3 linked regions of the Macaca fascicularis genome follow. The protein of the gene in region 3 purifies or fractionates together with the protein of the main gene of each other region. This does not show direct contact. Links are inferred from orthologs where the notes say so. Each region holds a gene or a part of one and is shown on either strand. Other genes may lie near its edges.

What was found. The genes of interacting proteins can lie anywhere in the genome.
Region 1: the proteins of RALBP1 (region 3) and REPS2 purify together in Homo sapiens (affinity purification with mass spectrometry; 3 studies listed by BioGRID and IntAct, counting the BioPlex papers as one, with this or other methods). This does not show direct contact. The link is inferred for Macaca fascicularis from reciprocal best matches to the Homo sapiens genes RALBP1 and REPS2.
Region 2: the proteins of RALBP1 (region 3) and AAK1 purify together in Homo sapiens (affinity purification with mass spectrometry; 3 studies listed by BioGRID and IntAct, counting the BioPlex papers as one, with this or other methods). This does not show direct contact. The link is inferred for Macaca fascicularis from reciprocal best matches to the Homo sapiens genes RALBP1 and AAK1.

What each region holds. Positions count from the first base shown.
Region 1 is NC_088395.1:16,755,109-16,762,253, reverse strand, and holds the start of REPS2 (ralBP1-associated Eps domain-containing protein 2), read right to left. Parts: upstream 4,832-7,145; 5' UTR 4,718-4,831; coding exon 4,469-4,717; intron 1-4,468. UniProt on the Homo sapiens protein: Involved in ligand-dependent receptor mediated endocytosis of the EGF and insulin receptors as part of the Ral signaling pathway. By controlling growth factor receptors endocytosis may regulate cell survival.
Region 2 is NC_088387.1:52,310,895-52,318,282, reverse strand, and holds the start of AAK1 (AP2-associated protein kinase 1), read right to left. Parts: upstream 4,832-7,388; 5' UTR 4,667-4,831; intron 4,367-4,666; 5' UTR 4,135-4,366; coding exon 3,972-4,134; intron 1-3,971.
Region 3 is NC_088392.1:77,825,983-77,833,100, reverse strand, and holds the start of RALBP1 (ralA-binding protein 1), read right to left. Parts: upstream 4,006-7,118; 5' UTR 3,875-4,005; intron 3,537-3,874; exon of another isoform or gene 3,361-3,536; intron 2,097-3,360; exon of another isoform or gene 1,507-2,096; intron 1-1,506. UniProt on the Homo sapiens protein: Multifunctional protein that functions as a downstream effector of RALA and RALB. As a GTPase-activating protein/GAP can inactivate CDC42 and RAC1 by stimulating their GTPase activity.

The DNA of each region.
Region 1 (7,145 bases), on a different chromosome or scaffold from region 3:
TAAGAGCAGTATTCTAGCACTAGGTGGAAAATGGCAGAATGGAACACTTTTAAATTAGAAAAAGAAAATATGTCTATGAACAGGTAATGGTTTTGTTTAGTATTTCAAGACAGAGCAACAAATGTTAGAGTAGTTGGTTTCCCAGGTTATGAAGTATTTTGTTGGTATTCAAAGGCCAGCATTTCACTAGAAGGCATAGTGCGTGGTGAGAATCAGGTCGCGGTTTGACAACGTATTTGGTTTGGGTTTGACAGGCTTATTTTACTTTATTTTGATACAGGGTTTTGCTCTGTTGCCTAGGCTGGAGAGCAATGGTGCGATCATAGCTCCCTATAACCTTGAACTCCCAGGCTCAAGCAATTCTCCTGCCTCAGCCTCCAGAGTAGCTAGGACTACCAGCGCATGCTACCGTGCCCGGCTATTTTATTTTGTGTAGAGACAGGGTCTCACTATGTTACCCAGGCTGATCTCAAAGTCCTGGCCTCAAGCAATCCTCCCATCCTTGGCCTCCCAAAGCACCGGGACTACAGGCGTGTGCCACGGCACCAGGCTGACATTTTATTTTTGGATATTATATTTCAAGTCTTTTCTCAACCAAATAAAAACTCTGAAGTGTAAAAACATTTGCATGGGAACATAAGCTCCATGAAGACAGAGATTATGTTGGATTCACTATTATAACCTCAGCACCTAGGATAGTACCTGACACACATCAGAAACTCATATGTTTTCCACCTAATGCTGGAATCCTGCTGTTAAAATAAGTCAGCAAAGGAAAATAAATACTCTGTAAAGAGACCAATTCATTGCTGATGGGAATGCAAAATGGTACAACCACTTTGGAAGGCAGTCTGGCAGTTTCTTATAAAACTAAATATACTCTTACCACACAATCTAGCAATCATGCCCCCTTGCTATTTACCCAAATGAGTCAAAAGCTTATATCTTGCATGTAACAAAAAAGCCTACATACAGATGTTTATAACAGGTCTATCCATAATTGCCCAGACTTGGAAGCAACCAAGATATCCTTCAGTAGGTGAAACTGTAGTACATCCAGACAATGGAATATTATTCAGCACTATAAAGAAATGAGCCACCAAACCATAAAAAGACATGGAGGAATCTTAAGTGCATATTACTACATGAAAGAAGCCAATGTGAAAAGTCTACATACTGTATGACTCCAACTATATGACATTCTTAAAAAAGCAAAACTGGCCGGGCGCGGTGGCTCAAGCCTGTAATCCCAGCACTTTGGGAGGCCGAGACGGGCGGATCACGAGGTCACAAGATCAAGACCATCCTGGCTAACACGGTGAAACCCCGTCTCTACTAAAAAAAAATACAAAAAACTAGCCGGGCGAGGTGGCGGGCGCCTGTAGTCCCAGCTACTCGGGAGGCTGAGGCAGGAGAATGGCGTGAACCCAGGAGGCGGAGCTTGCAGTGAGCTGAGATCCGCCACTGCACTCCAGCCTGGGCGACAGAGCAAGACTCTGTCTCAAAAAAAAAAAAAAAAAAAAGGCAAAACTATGGAGACAGTTAAAAAAAAAATCAGTGATTGCCACATGTTAGTGGAGAGGGAGGGATGAATCGATAGAGCACAGATTTTTAGAGCAGTGAAACTATTCTGTATGATACTACAATGGTAGATCCATGTCATTATACATTTGTCCAAACCCACAGAATGTACAACACCAAGAGTGAGCCCTAATATATAGACTTTGGGGAATAATGATGTGTCAATGTAGGTTCACTGATTGTAAAAACTCTATTATTCTGGTGCCGGATGTTGAGAGTGGGGAAAGCTACTGGTGTGTCAGGGCAGGGGATATATGGGTACTCTGCTAAATTTTGCTGTGAACCTAAAACTGCTCTGAAAAAAAAAAATAGCCTATTAAAAAATATGTTAAGGCCGGACACGATGGCTCACGCCTGTAATCACAGTACTTTGGGAGGTCAAGGTGGATGGATCACCTGAAGTCAGGAGTTCGAGACTAGCCTGGCCAACACGGCAAACGGCTGTCTCTACCAAAAATGTAAAAATTAGCCAGGCGTGGTGGCATGCGCCTGTAGTCCCAGCTACTCGGGAGGCTGAGGCAGAAGAATCGCTTGAACCGGGGAGGCGGAGGTTGCAGTGAGCTGAGATCACATCACCGCACTCCAGCCTGGGCAAAAGAATGAGACTCCATCTCAAAAAATAAATAAATAATAAATAAATATTTTTATAGACCATTTACTTGTGGTAAGACTGCAAGATTCTCATTCTTCCTGGAACATTATTATGGTAATCTTAATTGTACGCTTATTAAGAGGAAAACCTGGTTGTTACCATAGAAAATACCAGGGCTGGTTAGTGCCTCCAAGATTTGAGCAGTTATACCTGTCGGGGCACTTAAATCTCAACTTACAGGTTCCTGTTTAACAGGGAAAGGATAAAAACATCTATGTTTGTTTTAAAGAATGGCTAATACACCGATGGGGTAATACAAATTAAAGTGGATGGAGCATACACACACCACCACCACCACCAAAGTGATGGGTGAAAATTAGGGGTCTGCTGGTTGCTGACTTTGTTTGACTCTCTTAGGATTACATGTCCGGGATGCCTTCAGTGTTCATTTTCACCTGTACCAAGAATAATGAGTTATGGTAATTTTGTTGGATTGAAGGGGGATGATGTGTTTTGCTTTGCTAGGCTGAATAAGGGAGCTTCAAGCTCTGAGAGATTTACTCCAAGCAATACTGTAGGGATGTCCCCTTTGGCCAGTATCTGAAGCAGTCTTTTGCAAGCAGATTTCAACTGGACATCAAAAATATAATCTCATTCACGCACAGGCACTGTGCCTTGGGTCCTTTTAAAACCATATGTACCTCAAGAAAGCATGGGTTCTAACATCAGGAAATCCTTCTTCCCAGTTCCTAAGGAGGCATCGACCAACATATTCAGATTTACTATGCCCACCTCCTCTTATCCGATGCATTACTGACAACAAAATAAGCCTTAATAGGTACCCAGCTGTCACTTACTTGCTGCATAGCCTCAGTCAATTATTCCTCTTTCAGCTGGGAAGCAGTTACAGCATTGAATAAATGTGTTATGCTCGGGAGTATTCTGAGGGCCTCAAGTAATAGTCATGGTTTGTGTTTTAAGACACTGATTTTCTCTTTACCTGATCCAGCTCAACTACTCGTCAGCAATGGCAGAACTGTCTGTATATCAAGGACTTTTTTAGGGACAAACAGCCATGCTAAGTTCTGTGAATACTAATTATATTTTCAGAAATCCCAAATTCAAAAGGGTGAAAGATTACAAAGTGTTTAAAGTTACGCTCACAAACACAGGGCAGTACAAACACTCTAGCAATATAAAACGCAGTCTTAAGTAATTTCTTTAAAAATACGTATGAACACAATGACATTGCAAGTGAACCATAAAACCCTCAGTTCTCCTTTGAAACTAGATTTTAAAATACCACTCACCACTCTAAATATTCCATTGGTGTTAATAACATTCATACTATTGCTTTTAAGGAAAGCTTCATTTGACGTTTTGAACCTGATATTAACAATCTTATCACCATGAAGTGCTGGTGACATGAAATGACAGACAAAGGCTTATCAATTAGTCTTTCTCCAAGCTCCAAGGAAAGCACAAAACAAACACAGCGTCTGGTATGTATCATCCCCTAGTCCTTTTCCAAGTATAGAACAGTCAAAAGGTGGTAGCTATGACACCCCTTACCTTTCAATTCTATTTCAAGTCCAAGTAATGATAGATGGGAAACTACAGCTGTTTCCCATGGTGGACTTCTGAAGTCCACCTCTAGCCTCAAATGGGAAATTTGGTTTTGACTTGACAAACGTCCTCTTGCAGTCCCGTGTCCCTGTTCTGCAACTTGTCATTAAGGTTTTTGATTTAATATTAATATTTAGAAATATGTTATGGGCAATTACATATTGTAGATACGTATATATCACAACTACATACAGAGGACAACATTCAGCCCTGGGCCTCCAACCCTACAGACACACACACCCCTCAGGTTCAAATCCCAGCAAGGCACCCTGACAGCCCACTCAGGAGAGGGAGGGGCAGGAGCAGCGAGCAGAGGTTAAACCAGGCAGCAGCCAAAACAAACACCACTTCCAGAACAGGGCAAACTTTGGGTCTGGGCGGCTGCAGAACCCCAGAAATGGCCGGGGGAGGGGAGGGAATGTCAGACAGTCTCAGGGAAGGAAGATGGGGAGCGCGCACCCAGCACTGACTGGGCGAGGAGCTGAGCTGCGGAGGAGGCTGGTGTCCCCCGGGTACAAGGGCGTCGCCGCTATCCCCGGCTGCAGAGTTCTCTGACAACTGGCCGAGGCCTCCGGGTCCCTGGGGGCAGCCCTGTCGCCCCACTCGCAACCTCCGCCCCCGCAGACACTGCCCCACAGACCCGCAGGGACAAGAGGCGGAGGGACCCACCTGGTGCAGCGTCTCGGCTGGCAGCTGCGACGCCCGAAACAGGTCAGCCACTGGGCCGGCGGCTGCAGTGGCCGTGCCGGGGGCGACTCTGGCGGCCTCGGGAGGCCCAGACCCGGGGCCCCCGCCCGCGGCGCCGGCACAGCGCGCGAAGAGCTCGGAGTAGCACTGCTGCTCGCCCTCGCTCAGCAGCAGCGGTGGCGGCCCGGAGCCACAGCCCCCACCCGCCGCCGCCGCCGCTGCCGCCTCCATGGGACCAGCAAGGGGGCGCGGCGGAGCCCTGTCCCTAGCTGGGGTGCCGCTGCGTCCGCCACAGCCACCGGCTCCTCGGCCTCAGCCGACGCCGCCGCCACCCCCACGCCCCGCAGCTGCCGCGCGGCCGCTTCCTCCCGGCGCGCGCCGGCCCCGCCCCCGGGCTTGAATGTTGTGCCTCAGCTGCGCGGCACATGGAGACAGGCGCGGAGCGGCCCAATCACAGCCTGATATCTCACCGCGGCCCCGCCCCCGCCTCCCGCCTGCCCCGCCCAGCGCCAGGTAACTAACCCAGCGCGCTGCCTGCCCTCCGCGCGTCACCTGCTCCGCTGCCCAGGAAGGCGAGCCCCGTGCCTTTCCAAGCCTACCCTGCAAGGGAGCGGAGTCTTTGGCCATCCGCCCTGGTTGGGAAGGGCGCATCTAGACCCAACTGGAGAAAAGCTCTTTTCGGGGAGCGGGGAAGGTCGTGGTGTTTTTTCGCCAGAAGGCTGGGGCAAGTGTGGTGCCCACACCACGCCATGCCCTTTCCAGAAAACGGACAAGGCATGGGAAATTAGGTTTCCTTTCTTCCATAGCAGTAGTGCTTATGTCCTAAACAGCTGGAAGACACAGACGTCTGTACAAACAGGGTCCCACTGACGCCAAACTGTTCAGTGGGTATTGGAGTTAGGCCACCTCTTCAGACATGGCTCAAACCAGGAGTTGAGACTTCATAAGGAATAACATCGGTTACTCGTAAATACTAGAGTAGTAAAAGACCCATTTTGCAGATCATTTTGTCCAAATCCTGCTTTTACATATGAGGAAACTGCCATGTTCACCTTCATTCCTTCAAAACTAGTTGAATATCTCGTATGTAGCAGATTTATATGCTAGGGCCTGAAAATACAAACCTCAGTAACAGAGGATCCTCACTCTCCACAGGAAGCACTTATTTTGGTAGTAAAACAGGAATTTTTTTTTAAGTACAAAACTTTTTCAAGCTCACGCCAAAAATCAATGCGAGAACCCACATCTTTCCATCCCTGTCCATGTCCTCCTCTCTCTCCATTCCTCCCTATCCTAAAGCATACACACTGTATTTTTCAAATGTGCTTGCTTCCCCCTGGCTAGTACTCTAGCCTTTTTTTTTTTTTTTTTTGAGATGGAGTTTCAGTCTTGTTGCCCAGGCTATAGTTCAATGGCACAGTCTTGGCTCACTGCAACCTCCACCTCCCGGGTTCAAGCAATTATTCTGTCTCAGCCTCCCGAGTAGCTGGAATTACAGGTGCCTGCCACCATGACTGGCTAGTTTTTGTATTTTTAGTAGAGACGGGGTTTCACCATGTTTGTTAGGCTGGTCTCGAACTCCTGACCTCAGGTGATCCACACACCCCCCACCTCGGCCTCCCAAAGTGCTGGGATTACAGGCTTGAGCCACTTGAGCCCTCTAGCCACTTTTAAAAGAAAGTCCAGGCCGGGTGCGGTGGCTCATGCCCGTAATCCCAGCACTTTGGAAGGCCAAGGCAGGCAGATCACCTGAGTCCAGGAGTTCGAGATCAGCCTGGCCAACATGGTGGAATCTCACCTCTACTAAAAATACAAAAACTAGCTGGGCCATGGTGGTGAGTGCCTGCAATCCCAGCTACTTGGGAGGCTGAGGCAGGAGAATCACTTGAACCTGAGAGATGGAGGTTGCAGTGAGCCAAGATCACACCACTGCACTCCAGCCTGGGCAACAGAGCGAGACTCTGTCTAAAGAGAGAGAGAGAGAGAGACCAGAAAAGAAGCCACTGGAAAAAAAAAAAAGTCTGTCCCACCATTGCACTGGAAGTTCCAGCATCAGGTCCACATATCTGCATCTCTTTTCCAAAAATTATCTTTTTAAATGTCATTTTTCCTGGGAAGACCTGCAGAAATATATGCATGAAGCCTCACTGGGAAACACTAACCCAAAAGAAAACATCAGTCTAGGGTTAAGCACTAATAAAAAATATATTTTACTACAAAGAAAGCTACAAAACATTGATTTAAAAAATTGAAGAGGACATAAAAACATGGAAAGGCATCCCATGCTCATGGATTGGAATAATTAATATTATTAAAATAACCATACTACCCAAAGAAATCTATATATTCACTGTGATCACTATCAAAATACCAGTGACATTCTTCACAAAAATAGAAAAAAAAATCCTAAAAATTGTATAAAACCACAAAAGAACCTGAATAGCCAAAGCAATCCTGAGCAAAAAGAACAAAGCTGGAGGCATCACACTACCTGACTTCAAAATATACTACAAAGCTATGGTAACCAAAACAGCATGGTACTGACATAAAAAGAGATACATAAACCAATAGAACAGACTGGAGAACCCAGAAATAAACCCACACATTTACAGCCAACTGACCTCCAACAAACCACCAAGAAAATACATTGGGAAAGGAC
Region 2 (7,388 bases), on a different chromosome or scaffold from region 3:
TAAGAGTCAGGCCTGTGTCCCATCCATCTCAGGATCTCTGGAACCTAATACAGTGCCTGCCACAAAGAGGCACATATGTGTTTCATATTGATACCACCAACACATTAGAATTAGGTGCCTTTAATGGAATTTTTGGTGGTTTCACACACATTTTGAAGCCTTACTAGTTCGCTATGTAGGCGGGAGAAATTATCAAAGTTCATTGATGTGGACATTTGGTACTTCTCATCAGCCTTGGACCTGGATTCCTTGAATATAAATTAGAAAACTGCTCTGAGGAGCCATCTAGTCCACCTTATAGCTCCAGAATGTTGTCTTGAATACAGTAATAAATAAATAAACATTTATTGTTTAAAGCTTAGATATAAGTCCTCGTATAGCTAAGGAAGTATGATAAAAGCACAGCTTCTCAAGCCTTCCTTGAACATTGCTCCAATTTTCCCATTGAGCTCATTCTGGAAGCTTAAACCAAATCTTCCCTTGACATCATATGCCTATTAACTTAGACATGATTTAGCATCTCATCATGGCATCTTCGCTGAGAAAGCTAGAAAGAAAATATTCTCCCTGGCACCCAGCCTAGAAATAGCCATATTCCTCTAAACTCATAACTTAAAGCCTTCACTTCCCCCAAACAGCCCCTGCTGGACTAGTTAGTGAAACCAGGCCAGGAAGGCTGATATACCAGGGGAGATATGGCAGTGCGGCATCTTTTTGTCTTGCCCAGCACCCGCTCCTTGGGGTTCTTGCAATTCCTCACGAAAAAGCACACACCAATACCCGCACTAGAGAAAAAGAGATCATCAGTGGAATGTGGCGGTAATCTGGTCTGTGTTTTGAAGCCTCTCACACCACTCCTCCCTAAACTGCCTGGCCACTGCTCTGGGCACCCAGGGTACAACTCCCATGGTCCTTAAACCACTCTGGCTGGGACTGTAGACAGGTCAGCACTTGGGGACTCACAGGGAAGAGGGCGCAGGGAAGGAGCGTGGCTACCCAAAACATCTGTTAAGCCTTTAAGGAGCTGCTGAGGACTCTGCAAAGAACATCTGGCTCTATCCCCTAACAATGGGGGAAAGGAACTGCTTCAGATTGCTGCAGCTCAACTAGCTTTCACATTGCTCCCACTCCCCTTTAACACACACACACACATACACACACACACTCTCTCTCTCCACATATATACATATGATGTATAATGCTGCTGGTAGGTAATGGCTACCATTTATTGAACACCTGAAAACGTGAATTATATATATTGCCTCATTTAATCTTCATGACCAGCCCATTAGGCAGTGGTTCTCAAAGTTGACCTTGCATCAGAATCTCTCCAGGAACTTATTAAGCCCCACACTCACAGCCTGTGTAGTGAGGCCTGAGAATCTCCATTTCCAACAAGCTTGCAGGTGATAAGGATGCCCCATTTTGAGAACCACTGCCACAGGGAAACAGAGATTCAAGAGTGGTTTGGAATGTCTTGCCTACAGTTCCACAGCTAGTAAAGAACAGATCCAGAATTTGAACCTAGATCTGTCTGACTCTATAGACAGTGCCGGTAACCATGCTACTGTATGTGTGAATGTATGCCTCATCTTCCCAAATTCATTGGCAGAACCTTAAAGGCAGATTCAATCACACTTTAGACCTCCCTTATTCATCTCAGAACTTCATACGGTCTTTGGACTTGGTAGGTGCTACATAAATACTTTGTGTACTGGCTCCTACATTTCTACATACTTCTAAGAACCACAAATTCAAACTCAACTTAAGCCAAAGAACACAAAAAGGGCAGCATAGCCAGACCCAGTTTTACGTGACATTCTCTCTTGCTACTCCGTCTTTGCCCACAGTGCCACCACACTAACTCCTACTCACTCTTCAGTCACTTCCTTCAGAAAATGATCCTGGGCTCCCTAAAACTGGGGGCCACTTCACCCTAAGTTTATCTCTATGATGGTATTTATCAATCCACTATAACTGGCTATTTTCCATCTTTTAAAGCAGTTGGTAAAGGCCAGCTCTGGTTTAACAGCATATCCCAGAACCTAGCACAGCACCTGGCACTTCACAGGCAACTCCATAAACTGCTGAATGAATAAATGCAGAGCTGCAAGTCCTAAATTCCATGTAAAAATATCACAATACATGATGCGCAGTTCTCAAGGATGAATCCCAGAGAAGAGGAAGGCAGCCTAGGTAACAAAGACCAATTTTGCCTTTTCTCTTCCCTATCACTCTTCTCACACTTGGAGAACATGCACCGCTTAGGGCAGCATCATCCTTGATGAGACAACATCCTAGCTGAACAAAATGCTCGTGGGCTATAAGGTCAGCAGAGGCCATTCAGAGGGGAGGAAAGTGCTCTGTGGCCCTTCATTTCTCCTGATTTCTCTCTGACACACTCTCCTTTTCACCATTTCTCCACCCCACTGCAGTTAAGGGCTTTGGCACAGGGATGAAAGAGACAGATCAGACTCAAGGTGCGGATCTGGCAGCGGGCACAGAAGCATCTCCCAACCTGCACCAAAGTCCACAGGAAAGATCCAAAGGGACAGTGACTCAGGCCCCAGATAAAGCCCAGCTAGAGCAGTACTGAGATTGGAAGAGCAATAATTTCACACGGACATTAACTGTCAGACATCTTTTTAAAAAATCGTGTTTTTAAAGTATAGGCTTCAACTCTATTCCCAGAAAACTGGGCCCTGCTGAATCCAGTGCTTACACAAGCTGAGAGCCAAACACAGTTTCCTCCTCTTCCAAACCCACCCACCAGCCTGCAACACCCACCATGGTAAGCATTTCCCAGGCCCAGGTCAGGACCCTTGCTTCAACTTTAGTTTGCAAAACGCCCCTTTTTAAAGAGGCCTCTTAGCTTTCTCTCTTCCCTCGGTAATAAAACTGTTCCCTTCCACCACCATGTTGCAGTAATAGAGACCTCTCCCTTCCTCCAACCCCTCTCGGTCTATAACACAACCTACAGCAGGTCGGCCCCATCCAATTAGTCTGAATTGCTTCATGCCAAGGAAATTGCTGCTTTTATTAAAAATAAAAGCACACTAGGCAGGCGATGGGCTGTGAAAAGTATGAGTCTGGCATAATTATGAAGGTCGAGGTTAAGGTTACCAAAAGAGACATGCAAAGATTTCCCGAAAGCCTGGAGGAAAAAAGATGTATATCTACGTGAGTATAGATACACAGATGAAACACAGAGGAATTTACACAGCAGATCTAAATAACATGCTCTCTGACAGTGAAAAAACAAAATCAGAGCCACTCTCAAGTAATTTTTCTTTTGGTTTAAAAAAAAAAAAAACAACACTAAAGCGAGAGGAAGAGGGGCCTACTAGACTGAGTTCAGAATAACCACATTTGTTTTATATAATTTTTGTTATCTTTGCTATATCCTGGGGACCCGATTACAGTTGGGTCAGGAAACAAACCTACTAGTGAAATCCACCAAGAGCCTTGGCCCTTGGAAAAACACGTTCACATTCTCCGAAAATCCTCCCTTCCTTCCAATGCCTGCTCATGGAAGTAGGAAAGTTGGGTAGGAGACGGAGAAACCCCTCTCTTCTTAAAAGTCCCCCCATCCACACCCTTCAGCCTTCACATCAAGATTTTAAGTTTTAGGAGGATGACAAGCCCATCACCCTGCCTTTGGCATAAAGCTTTACACTTTCACACATACATTTTCTTGTGTGATCCTCAAAATTTGGCTTCTCAATATTAAAAAAATAAAAATAAAAGGCCACTAACGTAAACAATTTCGGCAACCTCCCCACACCCCCATAAGCCCAGTCACTTTCAAATCTCAATTTTAAATCTCTCAAGGACAATGACTCACAGGGCAAGTGGAGGGGGAAGGGAGGGTCAACTGGTCAAAGCCCATTCATACATGCAACAACTAGAAACCACAGTACTGCCGCATCAGCACAAGATTTTAATTTACGGCGCATTGAGCCACACCGTACCTTCCGCCAACACCTCGTCCACTGTGACCTGCTGTCGCCCGATGCCAAAGACTCTTCCGATGTAGCCACTGCCCAGGCCCGAGGTGCTGCCCCCTCCTCCGCTAGAGCCGGAGCCCAGGCCAGAGCCGCCCTGCTCTCGCCGGGAGTCGAAAAACTTCTTCATCTTGCGAATAGGGAGCAGCAAAGCAAAATACCGATGGTTTCTAGATTTTTTTTTTTTTTTTTTTTTTAAGAAAAGAGATCCAAGGATTTCTTCTCGGATTTCAGCTCGGAGAGGAGCCACCCGAATCCGGCCGTGGGGGTGGGGGCTGAGGGAGGATGCCTATAGGAATATGCGTGTCAATCGCGCGGCGGGTCCCCTCCTCCTCCAGAAAGCGATTCGTGTAAGTTTAAACCTGTGATGACAGAGGAAGAGAGAGAGGATGAATCAGTAACACACTTAAAAATTCAACCGCTGAGTCCTAGGTGGAGCAAAAGCCATCATCCTGGGGAAACGCTTCATATATTTTCCTGGCGAGAAAAACCCTGGGGCTGAAAACGCGACCCCGGCCCCAGAACCCGGGATCCCCGAGCCGGGAGCTCGGAAAAAGGAGGGATCCGAGCTGCTGGGGCAGCGCCGACCCTCCCGGGCACTGCCTCCCGCTCCTCCCGGGTCTCCCCGCCGCCCCTCGAGGCAGCATCCTGGCAGCACCCACTTGAGACGGCTCGGCGGCCGGCGCCCAGCTACCAGCCCCGCGACATTGTCACGGCCGCCGGGCCGGCCTGCGACGCAGAGAGGAGGCGGCGCTGCAGCGAGAGCCGGGGCCGCGCTCGGCTCCAGCCCGCCCGCCAGCTGATCCCGGGAGCGCCGGGCGGAGACTGACCCGCCGCCCCTCCCCCGCGCGCGCTCCCGCCCGGCTCCATCCACCCAACCAGGAAGTGAACCGCCGCCGGAAGTGCCGCTTGGGGCGGCGCGGCGAGGGACCGGGGCCTCTCCTGCAACCGCCGCTCTGTCGCCACAGATGGGAAGGAGTAGACGGCGAGAAGAGGACCGGGCGAAGGGGGTCTCAGTGCAGACAGAGTTCTGGAAAAGACTGTTGATATCACCCGAGCCGCAGGGCAAGCTGGGAAAGGTAGCTAGGCGCAGTCCGGCGACTGGACTACAAATCCCAGCATGCTCCTGGAGGAGCGGGCGAGGCGCAGCCGTGGCCTCCACGGCCTGGAAGGAGGTTTGTGGGGTGGCGCGTATATGGGGACTCGGCAATTTAAACACATCCCGTGAAGAAACTGCCAACGACTAGGTTCCCCGCCGCTGTATGTTCCACTCTTCTGGAGCCATCTTATTTGCGGCCTGGCCTCCTGGCACAAGGGATTCTGGATTTTGTGGTTTCCGAACGGATCGAGACTGACATCCGAAGGACGCCAGCTTAACCGCTTAGACCCTAGTGGGTCCTGTGGGTTTCCCGACGTCACCTGGGCTGAAATGGAAGCGAGAAGTGATCGGGAACATTGTGCTGGCAGTTGGATCCGGCTGCACCGGAGCGCCAGCCTTAAAATAAGTAAAACCGATGCCCTTCGCCCCTAACCTCAAAAGCTGCTTTTGCGTCTAGAGGTTATTGAGAGCCGGCTCTGCGGTCAGCTCTGAGCTAGGCGCTGTGAGAACGCTCAGTAAGACAGTGTCTCGTCTGAAAGTGTACAGGCGAGATTCAAACCGAGAAACGGCCAAAGGTTGTGTGCAAGGCAGATCCTAGGATACCAGAGGCCCAGCCCGTTGGCTTGACCTCAAACTCGGGGGCTTTTCAGCCCATGCTGCCCCTTAATTTTTCCTCCTTTGCTGACGCTGTGGGTGCGTCCCAAAGCCTGACCTTCACTAGCCCCCTTGCACACAAGAACACTAACCCTAACCTGACCAGTTATTTATTTCTCACTTCAAGATTCTTCCACTGATACTTATGTTTCCCTGATACCGTCCAAGTGCTGAGGGTGGGGATGGACTCTGTGATTTGCATCTGCCAAATGCAGAAAATTTGGAAAGCCAGTTGGTACACTTTTCCGACCCTAGATTTCCTGATGGATGATGCTGAAGAGTGGCAAGTTCCTGCCAAAAACAAACAAAAAAACCTGCCATGATTTACTGATATGATTTTTCTAACCCCTGAATATGGGTTATTGTTCATTTCCGCCCGCTCTTCCCACTCCCTAGTGCTTGTCTCAGAATTTTTTTCAGCGGTATTTGAGTAGAGAAGGGTGCCCCAGGGAAAAAAATGGTTCTTGCTTTCTCCATTCTGAATACGGAGCTGAGCTCTGACTGGGCTAACAGTGGCGTTTGGTGCTGCTGCTGCTGCTGCTGCTGCTGCTCCTTGTTTAAAGTAGTGCCATTGTAATTAAACTCCGTGTAGAGATAGCATCTTTTCTTCTGGAGAGAGTCTGTGTTGTCACCCCAGTTCACAAATTCACGAAGCCACCTCCAGGGTGAAATGCAGCACCTATTCCCTCAAACTAAGCCCACGAAGGCATGTTCTCTGCACTTTCCTTAAAAGGCCAGATTTTTGTCTAAGGAAGTTTGAAACAGACCTTAAAATAGATGAGAAAGCTCTTTTTGAATTAGACTCATTGACCCCCATTTTTCTCAGCACTTATTTGTCTTGACTTTTTTTAAAAGAAGCTCTGCTAGGTCCTAAAATCAATCTGATGCTCAGTTTTTACCTTTCTAGACTTTCTTGTTACCAGACTAGTCCAGGCTTACACAAATCTCAAGTCTTACTTCAGTGATACAAAAACTCCCAACACGCTTAAGGTAGCTAACATGCATTTATTGAACACCCACATGAATGCTTTGATCAGAAGCTGAGGGAAGAGGTTTAAAAAACAAAAATCAGATGACTAGATTGCTTGTCCTCCATTCCCTCACAGACAAATAGCAATTATAATAACAAATCCACAGTTTTTCTTGCTTTACATATATTAAGTATATAATGCTCAAAGGCACCCTATGAAGTAAAGTACTACTATTATACTCATTTTATAGGTGGGTAAGTAAAGCAAAGAGATTAGTGACTTACCCAAAGTCACACAGTAAATAGCAAAGCCAGGATTCAAACCCAAACATTTTAGCTTCAGAGCCCAGTTCTTACCTAGCTATACTAAACTGTCTACTTAGAGCAAACATTAACTGATTAAAAGACTAGTGAATAGTTAGGAACCTATGCACAAGCAGCATAGGACCAGGAGACAGGAAACCTCTGCCATGTCATAGCTGGGACCTTAGACCACTTGTGTCACTGGGCTTATTATCTCAGTTATAAAACCAGAGCTCTTACAACTCTTAGTAATTTTTTAGTTCCTGAGTACAAAATAATGAACAGATCAACCACTATAATCTCAAAACTATCACACTTTCTGTAGAATTTGTCCCACCCTGCTTTGCATTCCTATTCA
Region 3 (7,118 bases):
CATAATGCTCACCAACAGTACTTGCACTGAGTTGACATTCTTGTACTCTTGACTCCATATGTTTTTTAAAATGTATGTTCACACCAATAATCGCCTACTTCAGAGGTTAATATAACAAAACCAATAAAACCGAGTGATGGTGTTTGTATTGGAAAAAAAGTGTTCCATGTTCCTTCTCACCTACGTTTCTGTCCACCTTTCCCTCTAAAAGTTCCTTCCCCACCCCTGCCCCAGCCCCGCAATTTCTGCATCAGTCATGACTAAGCCTTATTTAAGCTTAAGGACATAAAATATACAGTACCTAATGCAGTGCCTGACCTATATAGCAGAGGGTTAAAAATGGGCTTAGCTAGCTTAGGTCTCTTCTTTGTCCTCTCAATGACTCCTATTTGCTTATAAGATAAAATTGTAATGACTTTGATGGTCTGCAAGATCCATAATTTGGTCTCTGCCTATCTCCCCAGTTTCAGGTCTTGCCACCACCCTGTATTACACTTGCTATTTTTGCAGATGCTATTCTGTAATTTTAGACTCCCATGCTTTTTCTCACACTGCTCCTACCTAAATGCCCATTCTTTCTACGCCTGTACACTTCTTATTTTCATCACCTTCTACATAGTTTTTCTTCCTTACAGTTTTCCTCTTCTTCAGCTCTCCTTTTCTTCACTTTAAGAAACTGGCCACTATCTCCTTAAGAAACTGACCACTATCTCCTTTGTACATCCACTGTACCTGCATACGTTCTTCAATCAAAACAATCTTGTACTAGTCGACAGTGAAAGAAAGAGATAAGGTTCAACTCCCCTGAAGGCAGGAACATTGCCGTGTGTATCTTTAAGTCCTCTTCACCTGGTCGCAGTACTTTCTACATAGTAATTCCTGTATTCTAAATAATCCGCATTTTTCCTTGTATACTCTTATATAAACTAACATAAGTTGCTATCAGGGATCTTTCAAAACAGAAATAATATTCTTTTGGGTTAATTCTGGGCCCGATCTCTTCTTGCCAAGCAAACAACTATGCAAATATAACTGTGCAAATTAAGGTTATTATGCACTTTCTGATAACACTTTCCTATTCTAAATTAGGGGAGAAATAGTCCCAATAAGATCTATAATTAGAAACAATATTTTGGGGCCGGGCGCGGTGGCTCACGCCTGTAATCCCAGCACTTTGGGAGGCCGAGACGGGCGGATCACGAGGTCAGGAGATCGAGACCATCCTGGCTAACACGGTGAAACCCCGTCTCTACTAAAAAATACAAAAAAAAAAACTAGCCGGGCGAGGTGGCGGGCGCCGGTAGTCCCAGCTACTCGGGAGGCTGAGGCAGGAGAATGGCGTGAACCCGGGAGGCGGAGCTTGCAGTGAGCTGAGATCCGGCCACCGCACTCCAGCCTGGGTGACAGAGCGAGACTCCGTCTCAAAAAAAAAAAAAAAAAGAAACAATATTTTGAAGAGATAGCAAACTAAGTTGTATTACATTGTATTACATTGTTTCGAGATACCTTGTTTAAAGAGTTACTTCTCCGCCGGGCGCGGTGGCTCAAGCCTGTAATCCCAGCACTTTGGGAGGCCGAGGCGGGTGGATCACGAGGTCAGGAGATCGAGACTATCCTGGCTAACATGGTGAAACCCCGTCTCTACTAAAAATACAAAAAACTAGCCGGGCGTGGTGGTGGGCGCCTGTAGTCTCAGCTACTTGGGAGGCTGAGGCGGGAGAATGGCGTGAACCCGGGAGGCGGAGCTTGCAGTGAGATCACGCCACTGCACTCCAGCCTGGGAGACACAGCGAGACTCCGTCTCAAAAAAAAAAAAAAAAAAGAGTTACTTCTCAAAAGCTACTGTTGGGCGGGTGCGGTGGCGCACGCCTGTAATCCCAGCGCTTTGGGAGGCCTAGGCGGGCAGATCACCTGAGGTCGGGAGTTCAAGACCAGCCTGACCAACATGGAGAAAATCTGTCTCTACTAAAAATATAAAATTAGCCAGGCGTGATGGTGCATGCCTGTAATCCCCTCGGGAGGCTGAGGCTGCAGAATCGTTTGAACCTGGGAGGCGGAGGTTGTGATGAGCTGAGATCATGCCATTGCACTCCAACCTGGGTAACAAGAGCGAAACTCCGTCTCAAAAAATAAGAAATAAAAAACAATGCTACTGTTAACTAATCTACTCCACTTGGATCCACCAGATACTTTGAATGAGAAGTGGGAACCACTCTACTGACCTTCCTACCCCTACTACTGCCACTCCAGCTTAACAGTAATTACCTTCACAAAGACAGAAAGGAGTTATCAAATCACCAAAATAACTCTAAAAACAGAAAGTGAGGTGATCTTTCTTACTCACAGTCCCACTTATTCATTTAGAAGTGCCGAGCACCAAAACAAACCTTATCACATATTCAGTATTTCGTGAATAACTGCCAAGTATGATGCAATACTCCCCAAAGTACTGCAGCCTTAGGACACGACCACTCCACTAAATAAAAAATTCAGCGAAAGCTTTTCTAACAAGGCTGGATGGTGCACTAACTCAACGGCCAAACGGCTGCACTTCCTGTACATGCACGTTCAAAACACCTCGAACTAACATGCTAGGGACCTTGAAGAACTGTACTAGGCCTTGCTCAAGAGGAAGGCTTTGTAATACTGAATCCCAAAAGTTGAAGCAGCAGAATTACTTCAGGGAAGACGCAGGTGTGAAATATTCCGTAAAACCTGTTTCACTCTCACAACGATCAGGTTTTTAAAAAGAGGGAGAAAACTGACTTCATTTAAGAGCATTTTGGCAACACACATAGTTGAACATGAGTTGTGAAAAGAAATCTCAACTCCATCCAGATCTGTCCGTCCATTCCCACGGAAACCTGAAGGAAGGACCGCAGCACCAAAGGCGCCCACTGCTCAGTGCCAGCGGCGGGCGACACCAGGAGCCTGTCCTGGTCCCCTGGGTAAGCCCCGGAGCCTGGCCACTATGCCGGGCACGATCCAACCGTGAGGGCTGGATCCCCTCACCTCTGTCCAGGCGCCCCCCAAGAGCTTCCCCGAGGCCTGGGGACTCCTAACTCTCCACGCCTGGCCCCCGAGAGCACCACAAACGCGGACGCCACGAAGGGAGGCCCGTCGGCCAGTGGGAGGGACGCACGGCCAGGGGGGTGAAAACTGGGGCGAAGGTTTCCCGGGAGAAACCGACGAGGGGGCAGCCACGCCCCCCGCCCCCAACTTCAAACCCGAGGGCTGCGAGCACCGAGCCCCACACGCTGCCTGACAGACGCAGGCGCGAGGCCGGCGCGGGAGAGGGCTCCTCGGGCACTCCAGGGGCATCGCCGCGACCCTCGCACGCGACCGCTCCCTGGGACTGACCTGTGCCTGCCGCCGCGCGACCGCCCGCCCCGCCGCAGCCTCCGCCTCCTCGCGCTCACTCTGCCGCCGCAGCCACCGGAGCCGCCTCCTGCGCTGCGCCCCAGGCCGGCCTCGGGCGCCCCATTCCCACCCCGCCCAGCCTCCGCCTGTTTACAATGATTGGGACGGAACAGGACGAGCCGGTCTAGCGCGCACGCGCATTCCCTCCTCCCGCCGCAGCCGGCTTCCCGGATCCTCCTCTCCGCTCAGACGGCTGAAGCCGTCAAGGGCAGGCGCCCTGTGCTCTCGCGCGGGTCGCGCTGGGAGGCGTAGTTCCCGAGGCCCCGGCATCCAACTAGCCAGAAGGCCTTTTGCCAAGGAAGCAAACTACAACACCCAGGAGGCACCGCGCCTCCTTCGTCCCCAGGCTCGCTGAGGAGACTAAAGAAGGCGGCGAGAGAACGCGCCGAGCGCCAGTGCTCTGCAGGCGCCTGCGCAGTCGCTGGCCTTGCGGGATGCGGGGACGGACACTTACCCCGGTGTGGTGCTGGCAAAGGTGTCTCGTGGGCATGTCCTGCAACGGCCCAGAGGATGGAGAGAGCTTCCCTCTCCACGCTCTGGCCAGCCTGCGCCTCAGCTCCCGAAGTTGAGAACTTTCCTTGCGCCAGCGTGCTTTCGTCGTTCCAACCAGTTAAACCGGCCTGGGGGCCGCCCGGCCTGCCCCTGGGTGGGGCTGCTGCCCCGCCTTCGACTGGGTGTGGGGTTGGAGGAAGGAGCGCCGTAGGCCTGTAGGGAGAGGCGGGAATAAACCTCTGTCGGGAACATCCACGGAATTCCTGAAGCGGGTGTGGGCTTCTGCGGGGCTCCAGCGCGCCCCCGGCTCAGCAGTTACCGAGCAGCCCAGCCCGTGTTTGGCTGGCAGTAGAGATAACTGAATTTCTTCGAGAAGCCTTTCACCCAGGCTTGTTGAGTTGCTCTGCTAATGCATAGCGAAGGCTGGAAACAGGGCTTCAGCAGTCTTCGTGTTTTCTGAAATGTGGCAGTTTATGAGGGGAGAGGTGGGACTTGGAATAGACGACCCTTCCCTGTCCCTGGCATTCCTACGTGCAGCACTCTCTGTGGCTCCTCGTTGCCTATTTAGATTGGCAGCTGCTGTCCATCTTGCTCTCTGCTCCCACATCAGCTTTCCTCAAAGCGGGCGGTAAATCTGTCTCTAGTACTCTGCGCTTCCTACCCAGTAAAGTTCAACCCCTGGGGCCTTACATTCATTTAGGGGCCTCCCACAAGTGGATACGGCATGGTCTCACATAGCCATTGGTCTTTGACTTTCGGAAAAGCCTTCTCATGGCCCGTTTCGCAATACAACAGTCTTCTCTGACCAGTGGGTTGGGCAGGTGAGCATGGCAGTGACAATTCTTTGCCTGTGACAGCACTGATTCGGCCAAGGGACAGGCATTGATCCACGCTGGGCCTTATGGAGGCCTTGCCTGAAATTGCTATATGGACGCAAGAGGGGGGCAGAGGGAGTTTTCTACTGAGGCAATTGCTGATGGACGTGTTTCTTGCAACCGAGTGGCCTAGCCAAACGTGAGGGTGGGAAAGAGAAGAAAGGGGAAATGGAAAGGGAGAAAGAGCTGGCAGAATGTAGACCGTGGTTTCATTTGGAGGCATGGTTTGTGCAGCTTTTTAAGTGCTGTGAGCACGTGAGCCTAAGTAAGTGGGCCCACTGATTGATTGATTTATTATTTGGAACCAATGTGTGTGGATATAGAATATATTTGTTGGCTGCCACCTGAGCATTTATTCCTCCCATTTAAGCCAGGCAACGTAACCATTCCCTCTAGCAGCAGAGATGGTCACAAGCCCAGTCAGAAACAATGAACCCACAAAGACTTGGGCTGGAACTTCCAGTAAACGGTAGCTTCCTTGCTTCTCTAGCATGGTGTAAGTATATGACGCCTGGAAATGTGGCAACCGTTTTCCTCCTATAAGGGGAAACCCTAGAAGGATGAGAGTTTAGAGGGAAGGCAACATGTAGAGCCTAGGGTTGAAGTCAGTACTGTCAAATGAACGCGGGAAAGATGGAGAAGAACCTTGTGTTTGGTGGCATGGTTTGAGCTGCAGTGTCAAACCTCACCTGTTTGATTATATGGACTATCCTATAGACTATTCGGGATTGTGAGCAAGGCCATCTTACAGACTATCCAGAATTGTGAACCACAAATTTCCTGTATTGTTTAAGCCAGTTCATATTAAAATTCTAAAAGTCCTAACTAAATCAGTTGGATTTCTTTTATATGACACTGAAAGGTCCTAACTAATACAGGTTCCTACGTAAAAAAACTTTGCAAGGGACTTTCAGCTATGGCTGTGTGGCATAGTCAGCAATTCTCTGCACACAAAACCAGTATAAAACTGGATAAATTGGCAAAAACAACCATTTCAGAGCACTGGATATCAAACAAATACAGAAAACAATTTGAGAAACATCTGTGCTTCAAAAACAGCTAGAACTTCTAGCAGGAACAGTGGATATCTGTGGCCTTCTGACCTGAGGCTGCTTCTCTCCCACCCTGTTGCACCAGAACTGCAGTTTTGCCAGTGTGGGTAGGAACAGCCAAGAAAACTAGCAGCTTTGTTGCCCAAGGGATGGACTTAATTTGTGGTGGGTGGTCAAAAACCCAAGGCTTTGCCAACTAAAAGTGACAAACTCATATGGAAATGAACAGGGCAAACCCACAGCTGTGCTTACCTGAGGTTACAGTCCCAGGTGGGGCAAATGGCAAGCCACTCAAAAATCTAACAGGGAGATTTTAGAAATAAGAGTCATTGAAGAATTATGGTTACACCACTGCACTCCAGCCTGTACTTTTTAACTCTGGAAATAACATTCTTTTTTATAGAGTCTACTTCCCCACAGAACTACTCTATTTGTTAATTACATCTCCACACATCTCTGACTGATTGGGAAACTATGCATCTGCCTAGGGTTGACCCAAGAGACCTGTTGAAAAGTAAAAGCAAAAGGAGACTTGAGAACTGGTGGCAACTGTGAATGTATTCCCTAATCCACACACAGATCCATTAGCAGAGGGAAGAAGACTCCCAAATCAAGGTGTTTGAGTGCAACCACTGCCAAATCATTGACTCTCCACAGCTATGCAAACACAGGGACAAAGCCCAGAAAGTCAGGGTAAAAATAAAAATGTGAATTTAAAAACAGAGCAAAGATACCAGCAGCCACAGGCCATATAGAGACAGATTTTAAATCTGTGTAAATCTAGGAAGATAAATTAAAAAAAAATAAAATAAAACTAAGAAAAATCAAACATCTAGAATTGCTGCAATATATAAAATATCTGCTTTTCAGCGGTGGCTCAAGCCTGTAATCCCAGCACTTTGGGAGGCCGAGACGGGTGGATCACGAGGTCAGGAGATCGAGACCATCCTGGCTAACACGGTGAAACCCCATCTCTACTAAAAAATACAAAAAACTAGCCGGGCGAAGTGGCGGGCGCCTGTAGTCCCAGCTACTTGGGAGGCTGAGGCAGGAGAATGGCGTGAACCCGGGAGGCGGAGCTTGCAGTGAGCTGAGATCCGGCCACTGCACTCCAGCCTGGGCGACAGAGCATGACTCCGTCTCAAAAAAAAAAAAAAAAAATCTGCTTTTCAACCAACAATCATGGTTTATGCAAAGAAACAGTGTCACCCACTCTGAGGAAGAAAATAGCAACCAATAGAAACAGACCCATTGGGCTCAGATACTGGATTCAGAAGCA